3 linked regions of the Oryctolagus cuniculus genome follow. The protein of the gene in region 1 binds, or shares a complex with, the protein of each later gene. Links are inferred from orthologs where the notes say so. Each region holds a gene or a part of one and is shown in the gene's direction. Other genes may lie near its edges.

The links. The genes of interacting proteins can lie anywhere in the genome.
Region 2: E2F1 (region 1) and TFDP2 share a complex: the UniProt entries of both Homo sapiens proteins name them as parts of the DRTF1/E2F transcription factor complex. The link is inferred for Oryctolagus cuniculus from reciprocal best matches to the Homo sapiens genes E2F1 and TFDP2.
Region 3: the proteins of E2F1 (region 1) and CCNF are in contact, whole or in part, in a cryo-EM structure (PDB 9CB3), measured with the Homo sapiens proteins. The link is inferred for Oryctolagus cuniculus from reciprocal best matches to the Homo sapiens genes E2F1 and CCNF. Residues at the interface, in NP_005216.1 of Homo sapiens: Gly84, Arg85, Pro87, Val88, Lys89, Arg90, Arg91, Leu92, Asp93, Leu94, Glu95, Thr96; in NP_001752.2 of Homo sapiens: Met309, Ile312, Leu313, Asp315, Trp316, Glu319, Val320, Met323, Arg349, Leu352, Gln353, Trp379, Leu380, Thr381, Asp382, Thr384, Asp504, Tyr505, Val508, Leu510, Thr511.

What each region holds. Positions count from the first base shown.
Region 1 is NC_091442.1:24,379,585-24,387,757, forward strand, and holds the start of E2F1 (transcription factor E2F1), read left to right. Parts: upstream 1-2,872; 5' UTR 2,873-3,007; coding exon 3,008-3,253; intron 3,254-7,000; coding exon 7,001-7,091; intron 7,092-7,443; coding exon 7,444-7,663; intron 7,664-8,173. UniProt on the Homo sapiens protein: Transcription activator that binds DNA cooperatively with DP proteins through the E2 recognition site, 5'-TTTC[CG]CGC-3' found in the promoter region of a number of genes whose products are involved in cell cycle regulation or in DNA replication.
Region 2 is NC_091435.1:139,868,647-139,876,376, forward strand, and holds part of TFDP2 (transcription factor Dp-2), read left to right. Parts: intron 1-3,285; coding exon 3,286-3,407; intron 3,408-5,535; coding exon 5,536-5,583; intron 5,584-7,730. UniProt on the Homo sapiens protein: Can stimulate E2F-dependent transcription.
Region 3 is NC_091450.1:32,840,710-32,848,439, reverse strand, and holds part of CCNF (cyclin-F), read left to right. Parts: intron 1-37; coding exon 38-202; intron 203-1,448; coding exon 1,449-1,572; intron 1,573-1,805; coding exon 1,806-1,986; intron 1,987-2,184; coding exon 2,185-2,272; intron 2,273-3,151; exon of another isoform or gene 3,152-4,132; intron 4,133-4,203; coding exon 4,204-4,303; exon of another isoform or gene 4,304-4,364; intron 4,365-4,432; exon of another isoform or gene 4,433-4,805; coding exon 4,806-4,933; intron 4,934-5,540; exon of another isoform or gene 5,541-5,731; intron 5,732-5,954; coding exon 5,955-6,124; intron 6,125-6,959; coding exon 6,960-7,414; 3' UTR 7,415-7,730. UniProt on the Homo sapiens protein: Substrate recognition component of a SCF (SKP1-CUL1-F-box protein) E3 ubiquitin-protein ligase complex which mediates the ubiquitination and subsequent proteasomal degradation of target proteins.

The sequences.
Region 1 (8,173 bases):
AGGTGCTGACAACTGTGAACACCTGTCACTAAGCCGGACTCCATCATCAGATCTTTTGGAAGCCGCACTCTATCGTCACAACAGCCCTGAGCCCGGCTCTTGGATGGCAAGTATGGAGGGCAGGCCCCGGCTTCTGCAGTAGAGCAGGCTGAGTGCCCATCTCAGTTCTGCTGTGTGACCTTGAGTCCTGAGCGCCCCTCTCTGAGTCTCCCCCTTCCTGTATCACGTGGATAAACAAGCTTCACTCGCAGGATTATCGGGTTGAAAGGAGAGGGTGGAAGTGGCTGCCTGGTGACTGTGAGTGTTTCGGAAGCCTGTCAGCCTAAGGAGGACTGTTGACATTGAGAACGGCCTTATCGGGATCTGCCAGGCTCAGGGCCGAGGGACCCCATCCATCAGGCTTGTCTGCTTTTAAGTGGGCATTAATAGATCCAGAGAGCTCTTATCTCCTCCTTGGCTTCATGCTGGGAATTACGGGCTTCACTCCTTTTTGCTGCAGTAGGACACAAGGGATTGTGGGAAGGAAGGCATTTATTTCTCCCTCAGGTATGTAGTTGAATACGTTGGGGAAGGCAGGCACTTGGAAAACCATTGGCCTTGGCCTTACCAAACCTTTTTATCTAATTGGTAAGATCGTGATTTCCTCATCCTAAAATAAGAAGAAAAATAGCTCTTCCCTCTCCAGCAATTAGCATGCTGCTTACCTGTAGCAGGTACTCAGTATTTGTTGAACGACTATTGGGTATGAGAGGGTTTTCCCAGAAGGGTTATGCCTGGGGCAGGCATGGCGGCACCGCAGTGTAAGCCACACTCTGGATGCCTGCATCCCACACTGGAGTGCTTGGGTCAAGAATCAGCCACTCTGCTTCCAATCCCGCTTCTTGCTCATGCACCTGGAAGGCAGCGGGGGATGGCTCAAGTACTTGACTCCTTCCACTCATGAAGGACACCTGGGTGGAGTTCCTGACTCCTGGGTTCAGCCTGGTCCAGCCCTGACTGTTGCAAGCACATGGCGGGTGACGCAGTGGATGGAAGATCTCTTACTCAAATAAATTAATCTTTTAAAAAAAAGAGTCTTGATCATTGGGACCCTTTGGGAAGGTGTGGAGCAAGGAAACTGTCCACCGGAAGTGGGAATGTGCCAGCTGCCTGTGCTGTCCGTGCCTGGCTTGGCGATTTCGAATGAGATCTAGCGCTGAGCTTCTGCATGGGGGACCCTGGGGATGGCAGCACAGGGGACAGGCGGATGCCACGCCAGGAACCCGGCGGAGGCCAGTCTATCGCTGACTGGCTGCACCACCACCTCCCCCTGAACGTGCGGCCTCTTCGAGTACGGACACATTGCAGGATCTGCAATAGCATTTCACCAACCGCTTATCAGAGGGAGGAGAAATGCCTGCCCCTTTCCCAAACACCACTTTATTACAAAACATGTGCAAACCCGTATTCCCTCCGGCTCGTGGCAACCCTGGAAGGGGCCAGGGCAGGGTCTGCGGGCCCAGTTCCCAGACGAAGAAACCAAGGCCCAGAAGCATCCCCAGGAGCTGTGCTTTGAGGCGGCACCACGCATTTTGGTTAAACCAAGTTGTTCTCACCAGTGAGCACACACCTGTGAGCGCCCCTGGCATGAGGGTGTGTGTTGGGGTGGGGGAGGGTACTTGGTAAAATATAAACCCCTGGCTATTCAGAGACTCTAAACTGGCAGGGCCAGGGAGGCCGGGGTGCTTCTGAAGCCGGGGCACAAGGTCGACTCCGAGAACGCTGGTGGCCCCTGTCCTTTCAGAACCTCTCCCAGCGCCGGCTCGTGGACCAGTCCGAGCTGGGAGTAGCAATCACTGCAGCTCCCAGGCGGGGAGAGGAGGCAACTGCAGGAACAGAGGCCGCAGCCGGCAGTGGAAGAAGTGAGTAACTGACTCCGGAGGGCTCCCTGGAAGAAGTGGTATTTGACTCTTGTTTGTGTCCTAGCTACTTTTTGCTTGTGGGCCACGCTCACCAGGCAGCAGGCAAACTCGACAGTTAGGACGTCTTTCACATCTCTGTCCCCAGTGCAGACACAAGGCCAAATCGGCCGAGCTGAGCAGTGGGAGGTGCTGATGGAGGTGTCTCAGGGCCTCGGGATTAGATGTTTTCCCACGCCCGGCAGCCTCGCCTCTTCCCTTTGTGAGGTCTCTCATGGCCGAAACCTCCTCATGCTATAAACAGCTGCTACCTCTCTGTCCGCCGCCGCCCCTTACGGCCCCAGCCAGGGCCGCCACTAAGGAGGGGACCACAGAGGCAGCGCAAGCCGCAGCCGCGCGGCAACAGAACTGAGGCCCCCCGCACTTCCTGGTAGCCCCCTCGGCTGGGGCTCGGCGAGGAGTTTGAGGCAATGGCCTAGGTGGGGGCCGCCGAGGACAGGAGATGGGGCTGCATCTCTGGAGGGTGCACAGAGGAGGCGGCGGCGGTGTCTGCAGACCTGGGCTGAGGGTGGAGGGGCCCTAGCTTGAGGGTCTGGGGGCGGGTCACCAGGGCTGTGCTGACCGGAAAACGCGCAGGACCGAGGCCCCGCGGCCTAAGCCTCAGGAAAGAGGAATCAGCAGAACGGGGTGTGTCAGGGCGGGGCGGGGTCCCAGTCCGCACGCCTCCGGCGCGGACGCCCGTGCTGGGGGTGGGGAGTGCGAGCTCGCTGGGCACCGCCCCGACAAAGCCTGCGCGAGCCCCGCCCTGCGATTGGCCGCGCCACTCCGCGCCGCCGCCCCGTCCCGCCCTCCGCCGCCGGCCGTGCTCGATGCAGCCAATGGGCGCCGCCGCCGCCGCTTCCGTCACAGCGCGGACAGCCAATGGTGGCGGCTCTCGGCGGCTCGTGGCTCTTTCGCGGCAAAAAGGATTTGGCGCGTAAAAGTGGCCGGGACTTTGCAGGCAGCGGCGGCCGGGGGCGGAGCGGGATCAAGCCCTCGCCGGGGCCTGTCGCCATGGGCCCGCGCCGCCGCCGCCGCCTGCCACCTGGGCCACGCGGGCCGTGAGCGCCATGGCCGTGGCCCCCGCGGGCGGCCCGTGCGCGCCGGCGCTGGAGGCCCTGCTCGGGGCCGGCGCGCTGCGGCTGCTGGACTCCTCGCAGATCGTCATCATCTCCGCGGCGCAGGACGCCAGCGCCCCGCCGGCCCCCGCCGGCCCCGCCGCGGGCTCTCACGACCCCGACCTGCTGCTCTTCGCCACGCCGCAGGCGCCCCGACCCACACCCAGCGCGCCGCGTCCGGCGCTCGGCCGCCCGCCGGTACGGACTCCGGAGACGCCGGGCCGAAAGCCTGCCTGACGGCCCCGCGCGCACCCGGGCGGGTGCGGTGTTTGGCTCGCAGGCGGCGGGGGCGGGGGAGGGGTGGACTGAGGCGCCCGGGCTGGGCGGTCCAGAGCCTGGGTTGGGCCTCCGGGCCCCGCCCCGGGGTGCGTGGTGACCTCGGGCGGGTCCCTGTTGGCTCCTCAGGGCTGTGGGCCTGAGCGATAATAGCCCACGTGTATTCAGTTGGCGCTTACTGTGTGCCAGCCTGTGGCAGATTTCTCGCCAGCTAAATAAAACTCACAACCCCGCCGTGAGCTCGGAGTTGTCACCATGGCCGTCTGGGGGAGCCCGGAGAGGGAAAGTGACTCGCCCCTGGTCTCAGGGCTGCAGGTGGTCGGGCTGGGGTTTGAGGCCTGCCGGCTTGAGACCAGAATTAGGGGCGGGGCAGTGGGCAAGGCTGCCTAGGGAGGCGAGGCGGGCTGGGGACACTCCTGGGGCTTGACCCTTGGAGGGGGCAGCATGGAGGAGACCCTCCTTCCGGCCCCGTGCTTGACCGCCAGGTGCAGTCTGGCCCTGCAGGCCTCTGGGGACAGGCTCCCGGCTGGGAGGCCTTCTCCGCAGGGGCGGGGTGGCCGGGCCAGCTGCTGATCCCCTCCATCTGCCACCCTCCACCCTCCCAGACCCTGGTTGCCATGGAGCCTCATTAATCAGGCAGGCAGACCCCGAGCCTCTGTGGAAGGGCTGGGTGGGCTGGGCCTCTGGGAGCTGGCTGCCAGGAGAAAGGACGCCAACCAGGGAGGTCCCTTGGAAAGTCCTCCCCGATGAGCGAGCAGCGCGGTGCTCGGGACTGGCTCTTGTAGGGGAGCCCAGAGAGGCTGAGTTCCGGTGGGAGAAGGGAGTGGAGGTCTGGAGCCCGGACCTGTGGGCCGCGGGACAGGGTGTGGGGACCAGTTTGACGGGCACAGGGTGTGGGTGAAGGTGGGGCGGGCGGGCAGGCAGGCAGGGGCTGGCCGGGCTGGATGGGGTCTCAGCAGGGGGCTTGGAGCAGTGGGAGGGGCCAGGACTAGGAGTTCGAAGCTGCTCTACTGCTGATGGAAGTGTGGGTGGCAGCTGGTCCCCGAGGCGTCCTGCGAGGGCCCCTCAACCCCATTGGCACTGTGCCCAGTGCTGCCTTCCTTCCGGAATCACCAAGATGCTAATAATAATAACAATAGTGGCCGCCATTGTTTTGAGGATGTTTTGTATGCCAGGCTCTGTGCCAAGCACTTTACCCAATTAACTCATTTAACCCTGTCAGCAGCCTTCCCTGCACAGGTGGGAGGCTGAGGCCTCGAGGTGTTAGGACCTTCCCCACTCCGCTTGGTGAGTGGCGGGGCAGTGGATCTACCAAGCTGATGGAGGGTGAAGAAAGCCCTGGAAGGTCTTGGGGACCCTCCTCCTGAGAGCGGGGAGGGGGGGGGAAGGGTGTCCCAGGGGTGGGTCACCTGGCCTGTCTCCTGTCCCCCAGGGGCCAGCTTGGAAGCTGGGCAGGTGACAAGTGCTTAGCAGGCCCAGTACTGAAGAGACCTAACAGCCGGTGGGTGCTGAGCTGGGGGAGCGGAGTTCCAGGTGAGGGCTGTGGGCTCAGGGCTCAGAGGGGAGGCGTGGCATAGGGAGAAACGCCCTCCGCTCTGCCCCCAGGGCGTCAGGAGCCCGAGCGTGCTGAGTTAGTAAGTGCCCAGGAGTAAGTGCCCAGGAGGTGCTGGCATGGGCCACTATGGAGTTCTGCCCACCCAGGCCTTAGTGCCAGGAGGTGTTTTTGGGTGTGGGTGTGTGGGGAAGGGGACTGGCTCAGAAAGGCCCAGCATTTGTCCTCCACTTGCTGTACTGATATTTTTTTGGGAATTGTCCTTGAAATAAACTACAGACTTTGCTTCTTTACCAGTGACCATTCACTGAGCACCTGCTGTATACAAGGTTGTATACAGTTCAGCTGTTCCCCTTGACTCTGCCCCTCTAGCCACACCCCATTGTCAATGGCCATTGAAAAGTCCACGTTTTCCACTTTAATACATGTTTATCATAGAAAATGGCCAGCCTGTGAGGAGGTTCAGGGGTTCATTCAGCAGCCACTTGGTGAAGCCCAGTGCCCACCAGAGGTGGAAGCAGCAGGTGTGGGGGCAGGGGCAGCCGGGGCTGTGGCTTGGAGGTACAGACGTGTCACGAGCGAGGCTCCACAGAAGGTCGTGTGGAGAGGATTTGGCAGACGAGCATCAGGAGAGGTTTTTGTTTTAAGATTTATTTTGGGGCCGGCGCCGCGGCTCACTAGGCTAATCCTCCGCCTTTGGTGCCAGCGCACCGGGTTCTAGTCCTGGTCGGGGCGCCGGATTCTGTCCCGGTTGCCCCTCTTCCAGGCCAGCTCTCTGCTGTGGCCAGGGAGTGCAGTGGAGGATGGCCCAAGTGCTTGGGCCCTGCACCCCATGGGAGACCAGGAGAAACACCTGGCTCCTGCCTTCGGATCAGCGTGGTGCGCTGGCCGCGGCGGCCATTGGAGGGTGAACCAATGGCAAAGGAAGACCTTTCTCTCTCTCTCTCTCTCTCTCACTGTCCACTCTGCCTGTCAAAAAAAACAAAAAAAAAAGATTTATTTTAGCTTTTTGAAAGTTACAGAGAAACAGCGGTCTTCCATCCACTGGTTCACTCTCCAAATGACTGCAATGGCCAGAGCTGAGCTGATTCAGAGCCAAGAGCCAGGAGCTGCTTCTGGGTCTCCCAAGCAGATCCAGGGGCCCAAAGACTTGGGCCATCTTCTGCTTTCCCAGGCCTGGCAGAGAGCTGGATTGGAAGTGGGGCAGCTGGGTCTCAAACCGGTGCATGGGATGCTGGCGCTGCAGGCCAGGGCTTTAACCCACTGTGTCACAGCGCTGGCCCCAGGCGAAGCTCTCGAGCAGGGCAGTGACGTGATAGGACATGATGGCAGGCGGAGAAAGGACGCCAGCGTGAGCGTGGACGTGAACCAGCCAGGGAGTGGCTGCGGTGTGTGTTCCGGGCACCTGGATGTGAGGAAGGAAGCAGGCAGGGATTGAGGTCCCAGGTCAGAGGCTGGTGGAGAGTGAGGTCTGGTCTTGGTCAGGGCACATTTGAGTTGTCTGGCACAGTGGGGACAGTCACCACCCTCGAGCGTCTGTACTGAGCCAGAGGGCATGGAGGTGCAGAGTCGAAGTCCCAGCTCTGCCACTTCCTAGCTGGATGACCTTGGACATCCTTGAGCTTCAGTTGTCTTATCTGTCAAATGGGGCTTTTGTACTGACCGTCCGCAGGCTGGACAGGGCTAATGTACGCCACGTGCTTGCGAGCACCAGCTGCTGCCACGGTTCAGTCCTCAGAGGCCCGAGACAGGTGGCTTACCCGAGGGACTGTGCTCAGTGACTTAGAGCGAGGATCGTGCATCACACGGCTCCTGTGGGTCAGGAGTGCAGCACGCTTAGCCGGACACTTCTGCCTCAGGGTGTCTCGAGGTTGCAGCCGAAATGTGGGCCCTGGCTGTAAAATGGTGGAGCTGGGACTTGAACTCCGGTCTTCTGCCTTTTTGTGTCTGTCCTGTGGCAGGATTGTAATCGACCCACCCCCAGCCTGTGTCCCCTGGGATCTCCTGTACTCACAGTTGGGCATCTAGGTAAAGCCAAGACGGGCACCAAGCTCCCAGCCAGGTCTCCTTGGCCTCCCTCCTGGTTACTGGGCATCCTCCCATTGTTTTTGCTGCAGGTGAAGCGGAGACTGGACCTGGAAACTGACCATCAATACCTGGCTGAAAGCAGTGTGCCCGTCCGGGGCAGAGGCCGCCACCCGGGGAAAGGTACCCATGGAGCTTGGGGTTGGCAGGCCCTCTGACCAGGCCCAGGGTGAGGGTGTGGACAAACTCTGTGGCAGACTGAAGGCTGGCTGGTCAGGTCTGGGTCTGAGCCAGGCCTTGGGGGTCTGCCTGGCATGGCTTCCTCAGACCCTGGGGGCTGGGGAGTTCCCTGGCTGGAAAAGGAATGCGGTGGCTGGCAGGCAGCAGCCACTGGGCCTCTCTGCCTGGCCTGGCTGAGGGGGAGGAACCATCTGCGGGCCCCCACCCCCATTCCTGCTGCTTTGCATTGCCAGGGAGGCAAGCCTAGCTGGGGGGTGGGTAGTGGGTGCTGAGGGCCCTTGCCTGGTCTCCCCAGGTGTGAAATCCCCTGGGGAGAAGTCACGCTATGAGACCTCGCTGAACCTGACCACCAAACGCTTCCTGGAGCTGCTGAGCCGCTCAGCTGATGGCGTTGTTGACCTGAACTGGGCGGCCGAGGTGCTGAAGGTGCAGAAACGGCGCATCTACGACATCACCAACGTCCTTGAGGGCATCCAGCTCATTGCCAAGAAGTCCAAGAACCACATCCAGTGGCTGTAGGTACCAGTCTAGTGGGACAGCAGAAATACCTGGCCGTGGCAGCCCAGAGGAGCTGGTAGCAGCTCCACTGAGGCTCTCTGCACCCTCCTCTCGCAGTGAGGGGAGCGCTCAGAGCAGCGGTGGCTTCCCCAAGATGGCAGATGCTGGAGAGCGCACGGATCCTCCATAGGCAGCGCAGTGCAGCTCTGCGTGCTGTTCACCCACGTCGTCTCCATCCGGATCAGGGTGAAGAGCATGTCCGAGTCCCAGAAAGATCCCCGGGGCCCCTTCCAGTCTTTGCCCCTCCTCCTACCGCCAGGTCACCAGTGTTTGGCTTTGGTTGCCATGGGTGAGGTGTTTAGTACCCTTGCTCTTTTTATTTTTTTTAAAGATTTGTCTGAAAGAGAGCGTGTGCTTCCATCTGCTAGTTCGCTCTCCAGGTGGCTTTGGCCAGGGCTGGGCCATCTTCCACCACTTTGCCCAATCTGTTAGCAGGGAGCTGGATTTGAAGTGGAGCACCCAGGACA
Region 2 (7,730 bases), on another chromosome or scaffold:
TGTGAACATGCATGTCTGGGAGAGAGCAAAGCATTGCCAAGCAACCTTTTGATAAGGAGATTGGAATGGATATGAGTGAAAGCCTGGTTCTGTTAACCAAGACAGGGGAGAATGAACCCGAAGGCATTGACGAGACCATTGGTGCTACCTATCCCATCACAGGGCCAGGGGAAAGAACTGTATCAGAAGTGTGGCTTCAGGAGCTTATGGGACCTTGGCCATCGCTGCCTGGCACTGCCTCAAGTTCGTGCTCCCTGCATTCTGACACAGAACTCTGAGCCATTCCAAGCGTGGTTCCAGTGGGCACAGGTGCAGTGCAGGGCACGGAACCCACTCCTCGAGACAGCACAGGTGGTAAAACGCTTGGGGCCTCTGGCAGAGTGCATGAGCGTGGGCTTGGTTGCTCCTGTCTGAGTTTGAGGATGCCCTGGCAGAGACCTGCTGACGGGGTGGGGCTCTGTAGAAAGCCCTGACAGCAGAAATGCCCAGTGAAGTGGTGGGCGAACCGCAGGCAGGAGGAAGAGAACTGCACTCTGGGCCGGTCCCAACAAAGCCCTGGAGTCTGGGGACTCACAGCCCAGTCCCATGTATCAAGATTAATTCTCAGACCTGAAGATTTCATGTTTTCCTTGCTGGGTATGAATTTGGTTAAGAACTATTATCCCTTTTTTCTGGGAATGTCTATCCTGTGCCTGTCCCAGGGTTGTATTTCAGAAGCATGTAACTTGTCTGGTTTCACAGGCTCCCACTGCAGGGAACTAGTCTCTGGATGAATCACCCCTTTGGATCTCACCCATACCTGATAGAGATGAGACTTTGGATTTTGGAGTTGATACTGGAAGGAGTTAAGACTTCCACAGCTGTTGGAGTGGAAGGAATATGTTTCTGTGTGAGACTCATAGGAGTTTGTGGAGGAGGGTGGAGCTGGGGGCAGAATGCTATGCTCTGAATGTGTTCCCCCACGTTCTGTTCAAGCTTAACCCCCACTGTGGTAGTCTGCAGAGGAGGTGGAGAGGTGTGAGCGCTTTGCTGTCCTGAGTGGGAGCAGCGAGTGCCCTCATAAAAGAGGCCCAGCACCCTCACTGTCACATGGGAGTGCAGCAGGCAGGAGCCTTGGCAGACGTGGAATTGGTCTGTGGCTTGGTTTAGGACTTCCCAGCCTCTGGAACAGGGAGCAGTAAATTTCTGTTGTTGGCACATCCCCTAGTCTAAGGCATTTTGTTAACTGCAACCCAAATGGACTGAGATACCCAATTAGAGCCATTTCTCAGTTCTCTTCCTGTTCTTTGCACTTTGTCCCCTCGCCCTCAATTCCTTATCCATGGCCTTTGAAAGTGTTCGTTATCTGGGTAGCCCTTGGATGAAGCCTTGCTGTCTGCTGCTAGCAGCCATCTCTCTCCACCTGCCCTTCACCCTTCACCCTTCTCCTCTCTGGGAAGCTGGATGTGGGGACGGGGTGGGGGTGGGGGTGGTGGATAGGTTTCATTTGTTTTCTGTGGTTATGGAAACTAATGTGGGATGTTTGCCTTCTGACAGTTCATCTCCTGCAGCTTACCTTGGAGGCTAGCAGTATAAATGCATATCTTATGATTTGATAGATGAGAATTTTCATGGCCATCTTATTTCAGTAGGTTAAAAAAATTCTTGTAGTAAAAACCGAAATTTTGTCGAGTAATGGAAGCCTTTAATAAACACTTTATGTAGATTCTTTTTCCCTTCAAAATATGTCTGCTTTCTTGGCTTTTCGGACTGTAGATGGCAGTAGAGCATCAGGAAGCTGACTGAACACAGAAAATTTTCAGATTGAAGTCCAGCACTATCTGACTTTTCTGCCTAACTAATCTGTTACCAGAGAAACCATATGATTACATTTAAATTAGGGATGCATGGAAAGAACTGTGCACTTTATATTATACATTTTTTTCTGGCTGAGTTTTATATAATCCTTTCTTAGCATACCAATGAATGAGGAAGCTACTTTTTTTCCTACCCATAATTTTAGAAATTGGGCTACTGTCCCAGCTAAGTAAATATTTATCATGCTTTCCATTCCCCTGCACTGTGCTAGACCCAGCAAAGGATGCAGTTTTTAGCGAGGTGTGCTTGCTTGCTGCCTGTGGAGATCCTGCAGGGAGGTGGGAGTGGGGAGGTGCCGTGAGATGTGGGGAGGCCTGGGAGGTCTGCACATCCCTAGGGTGCAAGGCAGACTTCGGTGAGGTACAAAAGTTTCATCTTTTCTCAGGAGGCAGGCTTCAGAATGCATATTGTAGATAATCACAATTTTTCTGGACATCTACTCTATTATGGTTTAATTTTACTTTAATATTATGTTTTAGTAAGATTTACTTACTTATTTGAAAAAGTTAGAGACAGAGATCTTCCATCTGCCGGTTTACTCCCTAGATGCCCACAATGGCCAAGGATATGCTAGGCCAGGAGCCAGGAGCTTCATTCGGGTCTCCCACCTGGGTGGCAGGAGCCTGAGTACTTGCCATCTTCCTCTGATGCTTTCCCAGGTACATTAGCAGAAAGCTGGATCAGAAGTAGAGCAGCCAGGAAACAAACCAGAGTCCATACCAGATGCTGGTGTTGCAGGTGTTGCTTTACCCACTACGTCAAAACACTGGCCCCTGGTTTTATTTTAACTATAGAATTAACTTACCAAAATTATTCCTGAATATTTGTTGTACTGACATCTCCCTAGCCACAAGCTGATGTATTGCCAAACAGAAACAGAAGCTAAGTTCCCTAATAGTAAGTGTACAAATGTGGACTACCCTTTAGCAGCTAAATCTGAACTGTTGTTACAGGTCAGAGGTTATTCTTTCAAATGCAAAAGAAGAGCTTGAAATGCCTAAGAATCCTTGCCTTTGGTTCCTGTGTGGAGCAAGCTAACAATTAATTTGGTGACTTAGACTGAGGCTTCAGAAACAGATTTCATTTAAACAGTGAAAGGAGTTAATTAGCATTCATTTGCATAGAATAGTCACTTCTGTGTTAAGGCTTTAGTAACGGAGATGTAGTCCTTATAGATGTTGTTCTCTCTTAATTGGTACTTAAAGGAAGCCTTCAAGGTTGCTGTTTACTTGCTGAAAGCTGTTTTGTGACCTCGTGTTGATATTAAGGACACCTTAAGATCCTAGGATATAATTACAGAAATATAATCAAACAAGTTGCTTACACTTTAGGTGGTGGGGCAGCAAGGTGTTGTCCTCATGTATAGATTTTCAGCTTGTACTCTCCTTTTAATCAATAAGAGTGTTTTCTTTGTTCCTCACTTTGCAGATTATAAGCACACCACAGAGACTAACCAGTTCAGGAAGTGTTCTGATTGGGAGTCCATACACCCCTGCACCAGCCATGGTTACTCAGACACACATAGCAGAAGCTGCTGGCTGGGTCCCAAGGTAAGTGTGTTGCAAATTACCATTTTTAAAACCTTAAAATGAAAATTCTAAAAAGAGCTCTGAACTTTTTTCCCTAACTTCTCTTGTCTTCTGTTCTTTTATGTTAGTTTGGTTCATAAAAACCAATGTTGTTTCCTTTAGAATCACTTACTTTATTTCACTTTACATCTTAGATATAAATCGTCTCTGGAGCAACCATTTGTAAACAGGAAAACCAGTAACCAGTACAGTAACTTGTAACTGAATCTCCTGGCTTCTCAGCTCTGAAACAGGACTGCTTCTTATGGCTGTAGTATTGAGCTGCTTTGGCGACATAAAAACTGTCTTGTATGTTGTTTTAAGTAGTTATGTATTAAGTATTAGATATTCTCAAGATTTCCCCTCTGAATTCTTATTTCCATAAAAGCAAGAAAAGGAACTAGGGAAAAGAGGCCAGGTATCTTTTTGCATTAGATTTTTCCTTTCCACTTTTTTTTTTTTTTTTTTAGGTGTATTTATTTCTTAGAAAGGTAGAGCAACAAAGAGCGAGAGACAGGGAGAGAAAGGTCTTGCATCTACTGGTTCTCTCCCCAAATGGCCACAACAGCCAGGGCTGGGCCAGGCTGAAGCCAGGAGTCAGGAACTCCATCTGGTGTCCCATGTGGGTGGCAGGGGCCCAAATACTTGAGCCATCTTCCATTGCCTTCCCCCAGAGTATTAGCAGGGAACTGGAACAGAAGCAGAGTAGCCAGGACTTAACCTGGTACCCAAGTATGGGATGCATCACGAGCAGCAGCTTAACCTGCTGTACCACAATGCCAGCCCCATCCCTTGATTCTTTTTGAATGTTGGCCAGTTAAACAAATGTCCCTTCAGTGTTACTCATTTGCCACTCTTAGTATCAAATCTTTGTATCCTTACCCAACATTTCTCACTCCTTCATTTTAGCATTTCATCCTTCCATGGAAAAAGAAACACTTTAAGATAAATGACTCCAAATCTAATTTTGTCATTTTAGAAGTTTTTTGTTTTATTTGTTTGTTTATTTTGAAAGGCAGAGAGTGAGTGAATGTAAGAGACAGAGAACAAGCTCTCTTCTACTGGCTCATTGCCTGCAACAGCAGAGATGAGGCTGGACCAAATTGGGACCCGATATTTAATCCAGATCTTTATGGATTATTATATTTATCCAGATAATAATGCATCTTTAATCCATGTGGGTAGTAGGAACCCAGTCACTTGAGCCAGCACTGCTGCCTCCCAGGGCCTGCATCAGCAGAAAGCTGGAATCAAGAGCTGGAGTTGGGTATCAAAGCCAGGTACTCTAGTGTAGAATGAGGATGTATTAACCGGGGTTGTAACCACTAGGCCAAATACTCATCTCTACCTTGAAGTTGTTAATTTAGGAGTTATTTACACAGTGGGGTCTGCATTGATGGTTCTGTCATGTGTGAGCTAGAATCTCCTTTAAAAATATTAAGTGAATTAATGGAATAACAATCCTAACAAATGCTTTAGGCCATATACATGCTTATATACACACATACATACATGTATACATGAACACATACATGTATAGGAGAGACAGAGAGTCTTATATATGTGTACATGCTTTTCCAGCATCTTAATAAGATGAAATGACAGAATCACCTGTAGCCCTATGACCCTTACTCAATCCTTAAGAAAATTCTCATGGAAAATTCTCATGTAGGTCTAAAAGTTAACCTTGGATTTCTACATGGCCTGAAGGATTCTAACGCGAGAACCAAGCCCTTTCCAGTAGTGTCGGCTCACTTTGGAGATAACCAGGATTTGTGTGTTTTCAGCTCCCACTTTATATTGGGGCTGACAGGACTGTCTAGTGTTTTTATTGTCAGCCATTCCAGAACGAATAAACTTTCCTCTTCTTACTTGTAAATATGCAATGATTTCTTCCCTAAATATTAATTGTCAAGCTTGTTTCAACCTATGATTTTTATGTCATGATGTCTTTGTCCCATGGTAAAATTAAAACTTTGTACGTATCTTTTATTTTTGTTAATTCTTGTCTTTGGATGTATTCAGTGTAGGAATAGACAAGTTATAATACTTCCCTGTTAAATAAAGTTGTGTATATGTTAAGTGTTTTTATGCTGTCTTTTCTTTTTAGTGATAGGAAACGGGCTAGAGAATTTATCGACTCTGATTTTTCAGAAAGGTGAGTAGAGGTGCAGCGTTTTGTCTGGCGTGTTCTGCTGTGTGGCGCCCACACTCTGTGTTAAGTCATGAAATACTTTTCCTATAACTTGCAATTCAGCTTCTACCACGATTTCATTCCATATCGAGTATTCCTGTTCTCTGGTAACAGTGGGTGGTTTCGGGAGAAACCATCTGGAGAGCAGGTTGGCTGTTGGTGGTGTGTTGGTTAGCCCCTCCCTCACTTTGGGAGATGAAGTGTTTTACCCAAGTGAATATTCACATTACTTTAATGTACCCAGACTTTTTAATAAGTAGATTTTATTGAAAACACTTGTAGATATTGGTAAAATATTACTTATTTCTTTTAAGTAATATTTTGAGTGTGTTATTACCTTTCTTTAGAATATTACAATAGTAATTCCTCATTCAGAATCACTTGTGGTCTGTAAAATAAAATATAAATGGCCATCAAGTCAGAAACTCCAGGACTAAGAGAAAGCAACTTGGGGTCATTATTTGAACGCAAATTCAGCGTTTCATGGAAACCACTATATGAGGTGCCATATTAACGCTGCACTGTTTTAAGATAAGACTCATATTCTCAGTGACAATTGAACTCTCTAAGATTATCATTTTTTAAATTCTTATTTATTTATTTGAAAGGTAGAAAGAGACCTCCCACCCAATGGTTCACTCCCCAAATACCTCCCAAAGCTGGGACTGGACCAAGTCAAATCTAGGAACCAGGAAGTCAGTCTAGCTCTCCCAGCAGGTGGCAGGGACCAAGCTCCCTGACCTGCTGCTTCCTGGGGTGCCCATTAGTAGGAAGCTGGAATCAGGGAGCTGGGGTTCAAACCCAGCCACTCCAGTATGGGATACAAGCATCCCATGTGGCATCTTCAGGACTAGTTTAGACACCTGCCCCGATTGCCACTATTTTTAATAAAAACCTTTCCAGCTATTCTTTTCTGGGTTTGCTTTAATTTCTGAAATTTTGTAACTCATTTTTGTAGATTGTGCTTAATCTACTTCCTCCTGTTAAGTCATCTGCTCTTGATATAATAGTTTTCTGTCTTCCACATTTTCTAATCTCTGATTTGCTGTGCACTGAGAAGCTAGGTGGCCAGAGCTGTTAGGACTCAGTCCACATGAGTGTGATTAGGCTCTGTGGGAGGACCTTGAGATCCCTATACATAGAGACTCAGCCTTCTGTGTTTTCTTGCATGGACTGTGCTGCTGCTTTATTTCCTCGGTTACCTTTGCTGCTTGCTTCTTGGTTCTTAGCTGTTTTGTACAGAGCCAGTCACATCTGAGGAACTTGTGTATCATGTAGAATATATGGTGCAGTGTTCTTTTCTCTAATGGAGTCCTCTTTCCAACTCCCACTGGTCTTGGCGTTCATCAGCGGGAAGGGAAGCAGTGCGTGTTCTTACAGATGTGTTTAGCAGTGGTTGAGGCCTAAACAATGGAGCAGTTCATTAGCTCTGATTGATGGCACCTTTGTACTGCAAACAGCATAAAAACAAGCCCATTGTTACCCTTCCTCCTTGAGAGAGCCCTATGAAGTCACTCAGCAAGATGCTAGGTCGAATTTATCGATGGAGCCATCAATTCAACTTTTTTTTTTAAAGATTTATTTATTTACTTAAAAGGCAGAGTTACAGAGAGGCAAAGGTAGAGAGAGAGAAAGTCTTCCATCCTCTGGTTCACTCCCCAAATGGCCACAATGGCAGGAGCTGGACCGAACTGAACGGACTTGGGCCATTTTCCACTGCTCTCCCAGGCCATTAGCCAAGAGCTGGATCGGAAGTGGAACAGCGGGACTTGAACTGGAGCCCATATGGGATGCCGGCACTGCAGGTGGTGGCTTTACCTGCTACGCCACAGCACTGGCCCCTCACTCAACTTTCTACTTTCGATTCTGTGGCCTTTTTATTATTCTTTTATTTTGTAATGTATTTTTTTCTGGACTGTGTCCCACCTCCCAGTAGTCCACAAGGATTGCTATGTATGGTTTTCTTTATTCCTGTCCTAAATAAGATTTAGCCCAGTGATGGGTCATTCTGTCTTTATGCTCCTTTAATCTCAATGTCTTTTTTTCCTGTCAGAAATACAGTTAAAACTCAGTTTATATATAATAAACTGATAATAAATGGCTACAATTTG
Region 3 (7,730 bases), on another chromosome or scaffold:
GCTCTGGTGTAGCGCGGTGCCGGCCCTCTGCCCACAGGTACATTCTGATTGACTGGCTGGTCGAGGTCGCCACCATGAAGGACTTCACGAGCCTGTGCCTGCACCTCACGGTGGAGTGTGTGGACCGGTACCTGCGGAGGCGGGTGGTGCCGCGCTATCGGCTGCAGCTGCTGGGCATCGCTTGCATGGTCATCTGCACGCGGTGAGGACCCCCGGCCGCAGGGGACCCGAACCTCCCGTACTGACAGCGTGAGCCCGAGTGGTGCTGTCCTGCAGGGCGCCTGCCTCCCGGGGGCTCACTGGGGTGTGACTGGATCATGCTTCCCCAACCCCCGAGGGCACCCACCACCTGCCCGTGTTCTCGGAGTCCGAACGGAGAACCGCCTCACGGCGTCTCAGTGCTGGGGTGACACCGCTCAAACCTGCCTGCCTCTGAGCCGCCGTCTGCCCAGACGCAGAGGTCCCGGCTAGGCTCACGGGGTTGGGCTTCCGTTTCATGAGGTCATGGCTTGTGGTCTGGCCCTGTCCTACCGCAGGAGCCCCCCCGGCCCTGTGACACCTACAGGTGTCTCTGCTTCACCCCTAAGCTGGGTCACAGGGGACGTGTAGTCTAGCTGCTCAAAGCAGCAGCACATCCGGTGGGGGGGACGCGGGTTCCAGGTCAGTGAGCAGAGCACTCCCCGGTGAGCTTGTGAATGGACCCAGCCGTGGGTGTGCCCACCACCTGCAGCTGGACAGGTGCAGCCTCCACAGTCCTGTGTCTGATGGCCCAAGACCACGTGACCGGGCCGCCGGCCGACTCCCAGTGGGAAACTAACTGCTTAGAAATGTCTTTAGGGCCGGGATGCCCCGCCTTCCCTCTCCGCAGCGGCTGCCTCTGCCCGCGTGTAGGCCTGTCCCTACACACCAGCCCCTCCCATCCTCTGCCAACCCATGACGAACGTGCAGACTGCAGAGTTCGGGACACGGCCTGCCCCGGCTGGGGAAGGAGTCCTCCGGGCCCTGGGGGCAGCGTGCTCCCTGATGGCCGATGCGGGGAGCTGGTAGAGAACAGGGTGTCTGCTGCCTCGGGCACCCGGCCGGGCACTTCTTCAGCCCTCTTCCAAGTCCTGGTCCCAAGAGTGCTCCACCTCCAGGGCTTAAATCGCTTGATAGTCGCTGTCACACGGCGGGGCCAGCCCTTGTCCCCAGGGTTGTTGGGGGCAGAGGGCCCAATGGCCGCACTGACCACCTCTGCCTGTGCCTGGTGGCTCTAATGCTCGTTCCAGCACCGTCTCCCTTTAGATTCCCCCCACCCCCCCGCTGGCCACAGGCAACAAGTCCGGTGTAACCTCCTCCTGCCGCTAAAGCCAACCCTCCCCGCTGACCTGGAGGCGTCCAAAGGCCCCAGGCCTCGCCCCTGCCCCAAAAAGTAGGCTGAGGGCTGAGCCCCCACCTGTGCGCTGCAGGTTCGTCAGCAAGGAGATCCTGACGATCCGGGAGGCCGTGTGGCTCACGGACAACACCTACAAGTACGAGGACCTGGTGCGGATGATGGGGGAGATCGTCTCCACCCTGGAGGGGAAGATTCGAGTGAGTGCCGGCGCCGTGTCCTTTGAAATCCACGTTACTGGGTCTGAGGCTGCGGGAGGGGCGGGGGACCCAGCATCCCTTGCTCCACGAGTCCTCGGGGACCCAGAGGCGGCAGCTGCTCTGCCACGCCCGGAGCGGTGTGAACGTCGTTGGGCCAACCCTAGACCCCCCATAGCGTGAGAGGGAGGGACCCTCCAACACGGAGCCCTCATGCCCACTACCCGCCTCTGCAGATCCCCACGGTGGTCGACTACAAAGAGGTCCTGCTGACGCTGGTGCCCATGGCGCCCAGGACCCAGCACCTGTGCAGCTTCCTGTGCGAGCTGTCGCTGCTGCACACCAGCCTGTCCGCCTACGCCCCGGCCCACCTGGCCGCCGCGGCCCTGCTGCTGGCCAGACTGGTACATGGGCAGGGTGAGTGCTCCGAGGGGAGGGGAGACACCAGAGCGGACCGCAGGCGTCGCCGGGGGGGCAGAGGCCCCAGAGCCACTTCAAGGGACTGCAGCTTTCCGGGAGTGTGGGACGGAGCTGTCAGAGCTGTGGGGTGGCAGTGGTCAGGCGGCCATCATGCCGGCCCTCGTTTCCAGCCTGCTTCCCTCCCTCCCTCCCCAGCACAGCCTTGGCCCACTCGGCTGTGGGACTTCACTGGGTTCTCCTACGAAGACCTCATGCCCTGCGTCCTGAGCCTTCATAAGAAGTGGTGAGTCTACACAAACCCTCCCGCCAGACGCCAGGGCAGGGGGAGCCTCGGATGCCACGGCGGGTGCCAGCCTCCCCTGCCCACAACAGCTGGGGCAGGGTACGAGAGCATCGGGCCACAGGCAGAGGGCACAGCTGTTCCTAGCCTGAGTGCGGACCGGCCGGGGCCAGGGCCGGGGCCGGGGCCGGGGCCGTTAGTGGAGCAGTGAGCTGGGAACAGCAGGGGCCGGGGCAGGGACTGCCTGGTGCTGAGTTGGTTCCGGCTGCGGCCATTTCCCTCGCCTTCCTCTCAGCCTCTCTGCTCCTCCTGCTGCTTAGTGCCCCTCCCTCTGGGGTCCCCCTCACCACCCTGGGGTCCGTGGCCTGGTGCTGCCTCTGCCCTGCTGCCCCAGACTGTCCCACTGAGCCTCCCTCCGGCCCGTCCCCGGTGTCTGAGCAGACGCCCGCTCGCTCGCTGGCTCCGCCTGTGGGCTGCATTTGGTGACCGCAGAATGTCTGCCTCTGTCACCCCTGGAGCCAGGCAGCTCTTGGGTCTGGTGAACTTCCTGACACACGGAAGTTCACACTCCCACAGAGGGATCAGGGCCTTGGGCGTGGGTGGCCGCCTGGCCACCTGTGGGCACCTCCCTTGCCCTTGTGCTGACCGGAGCCTTGTCTCCGGCTTCCAGGATGGCAGCACCCTGCAGCCAGCCCCCTCTTTGGTCCATCCGGTCGGGGGACCCACTGCCTTGGGCTTTTCCCGCTCTTTTCTCCTGAACTGCCAGGCTCCTCTGTAGCGGGCAGATGAGGAAGGGGGTGAGGATCAAGGGGCAGCGTGTCTGTCCCCCCCACCCCGCTCACCCCCGGAACAAGTGGACACCAAAAGCGTTGCATGGCAGCGTTCAAAGAGAAACTGGAAGGTTTTATTCAGGAACCGTACTTTTAAAAAGTGTCTAATAGTAAGCTTTTAAGATACAGAGTCCTGTAACCACCACCAGTGAATTTTAGTACATTTTCTCTCACACACACACACACACACACACACACACACATACACATACATACACACATGCACCCCCACCCCAACCCCCCAGAAAGAAACCCCAGGCTTGGTTCACTCCGGCTTCCTTGGCCCTTGGTAATCAATCTTCCTGCCGCTGGATCTGCCTATGCCGGCGTTCCATACCAAGGAGTCCCCGTCCGTGGCCTGTGTCTGACTGCTTTCTCTTGCCATCATGCGTTGCTTCATCCGTGTTGTGGCATGTGACTGGATAACATCCCGGTGTGTGGCCACATTGCCTTCGGTGACCCACCCATCCATCCACTGCACTCGAGAGTGGGAGAGACCACTGGGCACGTGGAGGCCGTCTGCCCGTTGTTGGGGGGACGCTGGGCACGTGGGAGCCATTTGCCCGTTGCTGGGGGGACGCTGGGCACGTGGGAGCCGTCTGCCCGTTGTTGGGGGGACCGCCAGACTATTCCCCAGCATGTCCTGTTATGGCTGGGATGGCTCTGAAAGTGTTGTCCCCTCCACGTCAGTGAGTTGAGGCTAAAGACAGGGTGGGGGCCAGCGCCGCAGCTCAATAGGCTAATCCTCCGCCTTGCGGCGCTGGCACACTGGGTTCTAGTCCCAGTCGGGGCGCCGGATTCTGTCCCAGTTGCCCCTCTTCTAGGACAGCTCTCTGCTGTGGCCAGGGAGTGCAGTGGAGGATGGCCCAAGTGCTTGGGCCCTGCACCCCATGGGAGACCAGGAGAAGCACCTGGCTCCTGCCTTCGGATCAGCACGGTGCGCCAGCCGCAGCGCGCCAGCCGTGGTGGCCATTGGAGGGTGAACCAACGGCAAAGGAAGACCTTTCTCTGTCTCTCTCACTGTCCACTCTGCCTGTCAAAAAAAAAAAAAAAAAAAAAGACAGGGTGGGGAGCTCACGAGTCTGCCTCCATGCCCGTTTCCAGCTTCCACGACGACGCCCCCAAGGACTACCGGCAAGTCTCCCTGACGGCGGTGAAGCAGCGATTCGAAGACAAGCGCTACGAGGAGATCAGCCAGGAAGAGGTGCCTCCTCCTGCTCACCTGGGTGTCGGGGGGCCAGGGGGAGGAGCCTCCTCCCGCTCACCTGGGTGTCGGGGGCCAGAGGGAGGAGCCTCCTCCCGCTCACCTGGGTGTCGGGGGCCAGAGGGAGGAGCCTCCTCCTGCTCACCTGGGTGTCGGGGGGCCAGGGGGAGGAGCCTTGTCCCGCTCACCTGGGTGTCTGGGGGCCAGGGGGAGGAGCCTCCTCCCACTCACCTGGGTGTCTGGGACCAGGGGGAGGAGCCTCCTCCCGCTCACCTGGGTGTCAGGGGTCAGGGAGGAGCCTCCTCCCGCTCACCTGGGTGTCTGGGGGCCAGGGGGAGGAGCCTCCTCCCGCTCACCTGGGTGTCTGGGGCCAGGGGGAGGAGCCTCCTCCCGCTCACCTGAGTGTCGGGGGCCAGAGGGAGGAGCCTTGTCCCGCTCACCTGGGTGTCGGGGGCCTCATCGGCCTGTGGGCTCCTCTCCACTCCCTGCCTCGGGCCCCCAGGTGCTGAGCTACAGCCAGTTGTGTGCAGCCCTGGGCGTGAAGCAGGAAAGCCCGGAGCCCGCGTCCTTGGTCAGCGCGGGAGACATCCACGCCTTCCTCAGCTCTCCGTCTGGGAGGAGAACCAAACGGTGAGTGCTCCGGGCCGGGGCTGTGCTGTAGACTGGCCTGTGCCCCTCAGCCACGCTGCGGCCCCCAGAGGGGGTTTGTGGGCTCAAGCCAGGCAGCCTGGGTCGGGCCATCCTCCTGATGACCGCCCTCCCCCGGTGGCTCCCGTTCTCTGTGCTGCCTCTCGCTGGCCAGGCAAAGCTGAGCTGACCATGGCACTGCGCCACCCCCTTCCCTCGCACCACTGCCCCGCGGCCCTCAGTCCGGCCTCCGTGTCCCTGCTGTGCCTCCTGGGATAAGCCCCCCCATCCTGTCCGCCCTGAAGAACTCCCACTGATCCTGCAAAGCCCACGTGAGCAGGGCCTCTGACTCCCCGCACGCACCCGTGAGCTGCTGTGGGCAGGCCCTGGGTGGTTTGTCACCCTTGTCACACACAGGGCCGTGCAAGGCCACCTCCACAGCTGGTTTCTGGGGCACGGGCCCTGGCAGCAGACGCCCGCGTGCTGCTCCCCCTTCCTCCCTGGGAAGCATGGGAGGCCTCCCTGCACTGGGCCCCTCCCAAGCTGACTACACGCAGGCTGAGACCCCCAGCACACACGCACACATGTGCACGCACTCACACGTACTCACGCATGCACTCCGGGAGGGGGTTCCTGGGCTGCCCATGTGCGCCTGTGTCTGCCTGCTCTCCTCCTGTCCGTTCCCAGGGAGACCTGGTGCCGCCTTTGCCAAGCGTGGCTGGCCTGCAGCTCCTGTTCTCGGCACCCGACAGTGCCATCGTCCTCCCAGCTTCCAGAGGGGCCGAGTGGTTTTGTGGGGTCCTGCAGCACAGTGGGCCAGGTTCACACCCTGCCCCAGGCTCGGTTTTCTCCAAATCGCCCTTCCCCCAGCCGAGCCCCTGCCCTCGAGGCCTTCCACCCATTCTACCCACAAACCTCTCGGGAGCACATGGCCATGAGCCCAGGGTGTGCAGGTGCGGAGGACTGGGTGGGCCCCCGACACTGCCGCCTCTGACCAGGCCTCCTGGGCTGTCCCCCGCTACAGGAAGCGTGAGAACAGCCTGCAGGAGGACAGGGGCAGCTTTGTCACCACCCCCACTGCAGAGCTGTCCAGCCAGGAGGAGACACTGCTGGGCAGCTTCCTGGACTGGAGCCTGGACTGCTGTTCTGGCTACGAGGGTGACCAGGAGAGCGAGGGCGAGAAGGAGGGCGACGGTGAGTGTCACCGGGGAGGGGGTGTGCAGAGGGCTGAGCCTGGGGCCAGGCTGGGGCCAGACACAGGGAGGCATGAGGGCAGAGCCCCTGAACACCAGTGCGGGGTGGCGGCAGTAGGGAGAGGGAGGCCTTAGGACGGCCAGTGTCTACATATATGCTACAGGCAGGCATATCGGTAGACCCTCTCCGGGGTGGGGACAGAACTCCCTGCCTGGAGTTCATAAGATCCTTTAAATTAAAGACACACTTGGAAGTCACAGGGGTGACAGATATCTTCCATCTGCTCGTTCACCCCAAATTCCCGCAAGGGCCAAGCCAAAGCCAGGAGCCTGAGCTCCATCCAGGTCTCCCACGTGGGTGCGGGGGCCCAGTCCTTGGGCCATCTTCCGCTGCTTTCCCAGGTGTGTTAGCACTGAGCTGAGTCGGAAGTGGAGCAGCTGGGACACAAACTGGCGCTCACGTGGGATGCCACGTCACGGGCGGCAGCTTAACCTGCTGTACCCAGTAAAATCTTTCTAGAATGTTTCTGAGATGTGTGCTTGTGTACATGAGCCCTGCTGTGCCGTGGGCTCTACCTCCCGGCAGGTGAGTTCCTGTGGATTTTCAGTTTTGTGTCCACCAGTGGTTAGGTGAGGTGGCCATTTGTTGTCACCCGCCACTGCCCAGAGTCGGCAGGCAGCTTGTCCACGTTACGCAGAGGCGAGCGGTGCAGGGGCTGACACAGGTGGGGCAGCGCATTTGGCATGGGGTCCGCCTGCTGGCTGAGAGCCGGGACCTGCCCCCACCCCACGCCCCAGCTGTGGTGTGACCTCTCCTGCCCCGACATTTCCCACAGTGACGGCTCCCAGTGGCATCCTGGACGTCACCGTGGTCTGCCTGGACCCAGAGCAGCACTGCTGCCAGGCGTCGAGTGATGAGGAGGCCTCTCCAGAGGCCACGGGGCGCCGGGCGCCGGGCACCCTGGCAGCTCCCTCCGCAGGGCCCGAGCCCCACGCCCGCAGCAGGACCGCGCCGGGCAAGGACATCACGACCTCAGGGTACTCCTCCGTCAGCAGCGCGAGCCCCACCAGCTCGGGGGCCGCGCCCCCATCTACCTCAGTGCCGTCCCCGGGCAGCAGCCCGCACACACAGCCTTGCCACCATCAGGCCAGGAAGTCATGTTTACAGTGTCGGCCCCCGAGCCCCCCGGAGGGCAGCGTTCCCCGGCCGCAGGTGAAGCGGAAGAACCGGTCGGCGCACAGTGAGGAGGACGAGGACGAGGACATGAACCTGGGCTTCCTGCGGCTGTGAGCTCGCCAGTGCCTTGCTGGGTGCCTGACTACTGAGGGGGGCTGGCCTGCAGGCCATGCGCGGGAGCAGAGCCCGTGGCCCACGGGTACGGGGGCCCTTCCTCCAGGAGCCCCGGGGGAGTGGACAGCCGGGGTCTGCTGCTTTGGAAGGTTCGGCCTCACAGCAGTCACGCACACCATGAGCCTGTCTGTCCAGACCCCTGTGTCCACCGTCTCCCAGCCCCTCTGAGCCCCGTGCCGGAGCCAACAGCTGCCAGGCTCAGCCGCCGAGAGCCTGGCGCAGCCTGGTCCCTGCCCGCGTGTTTGGCCTCGGGCTG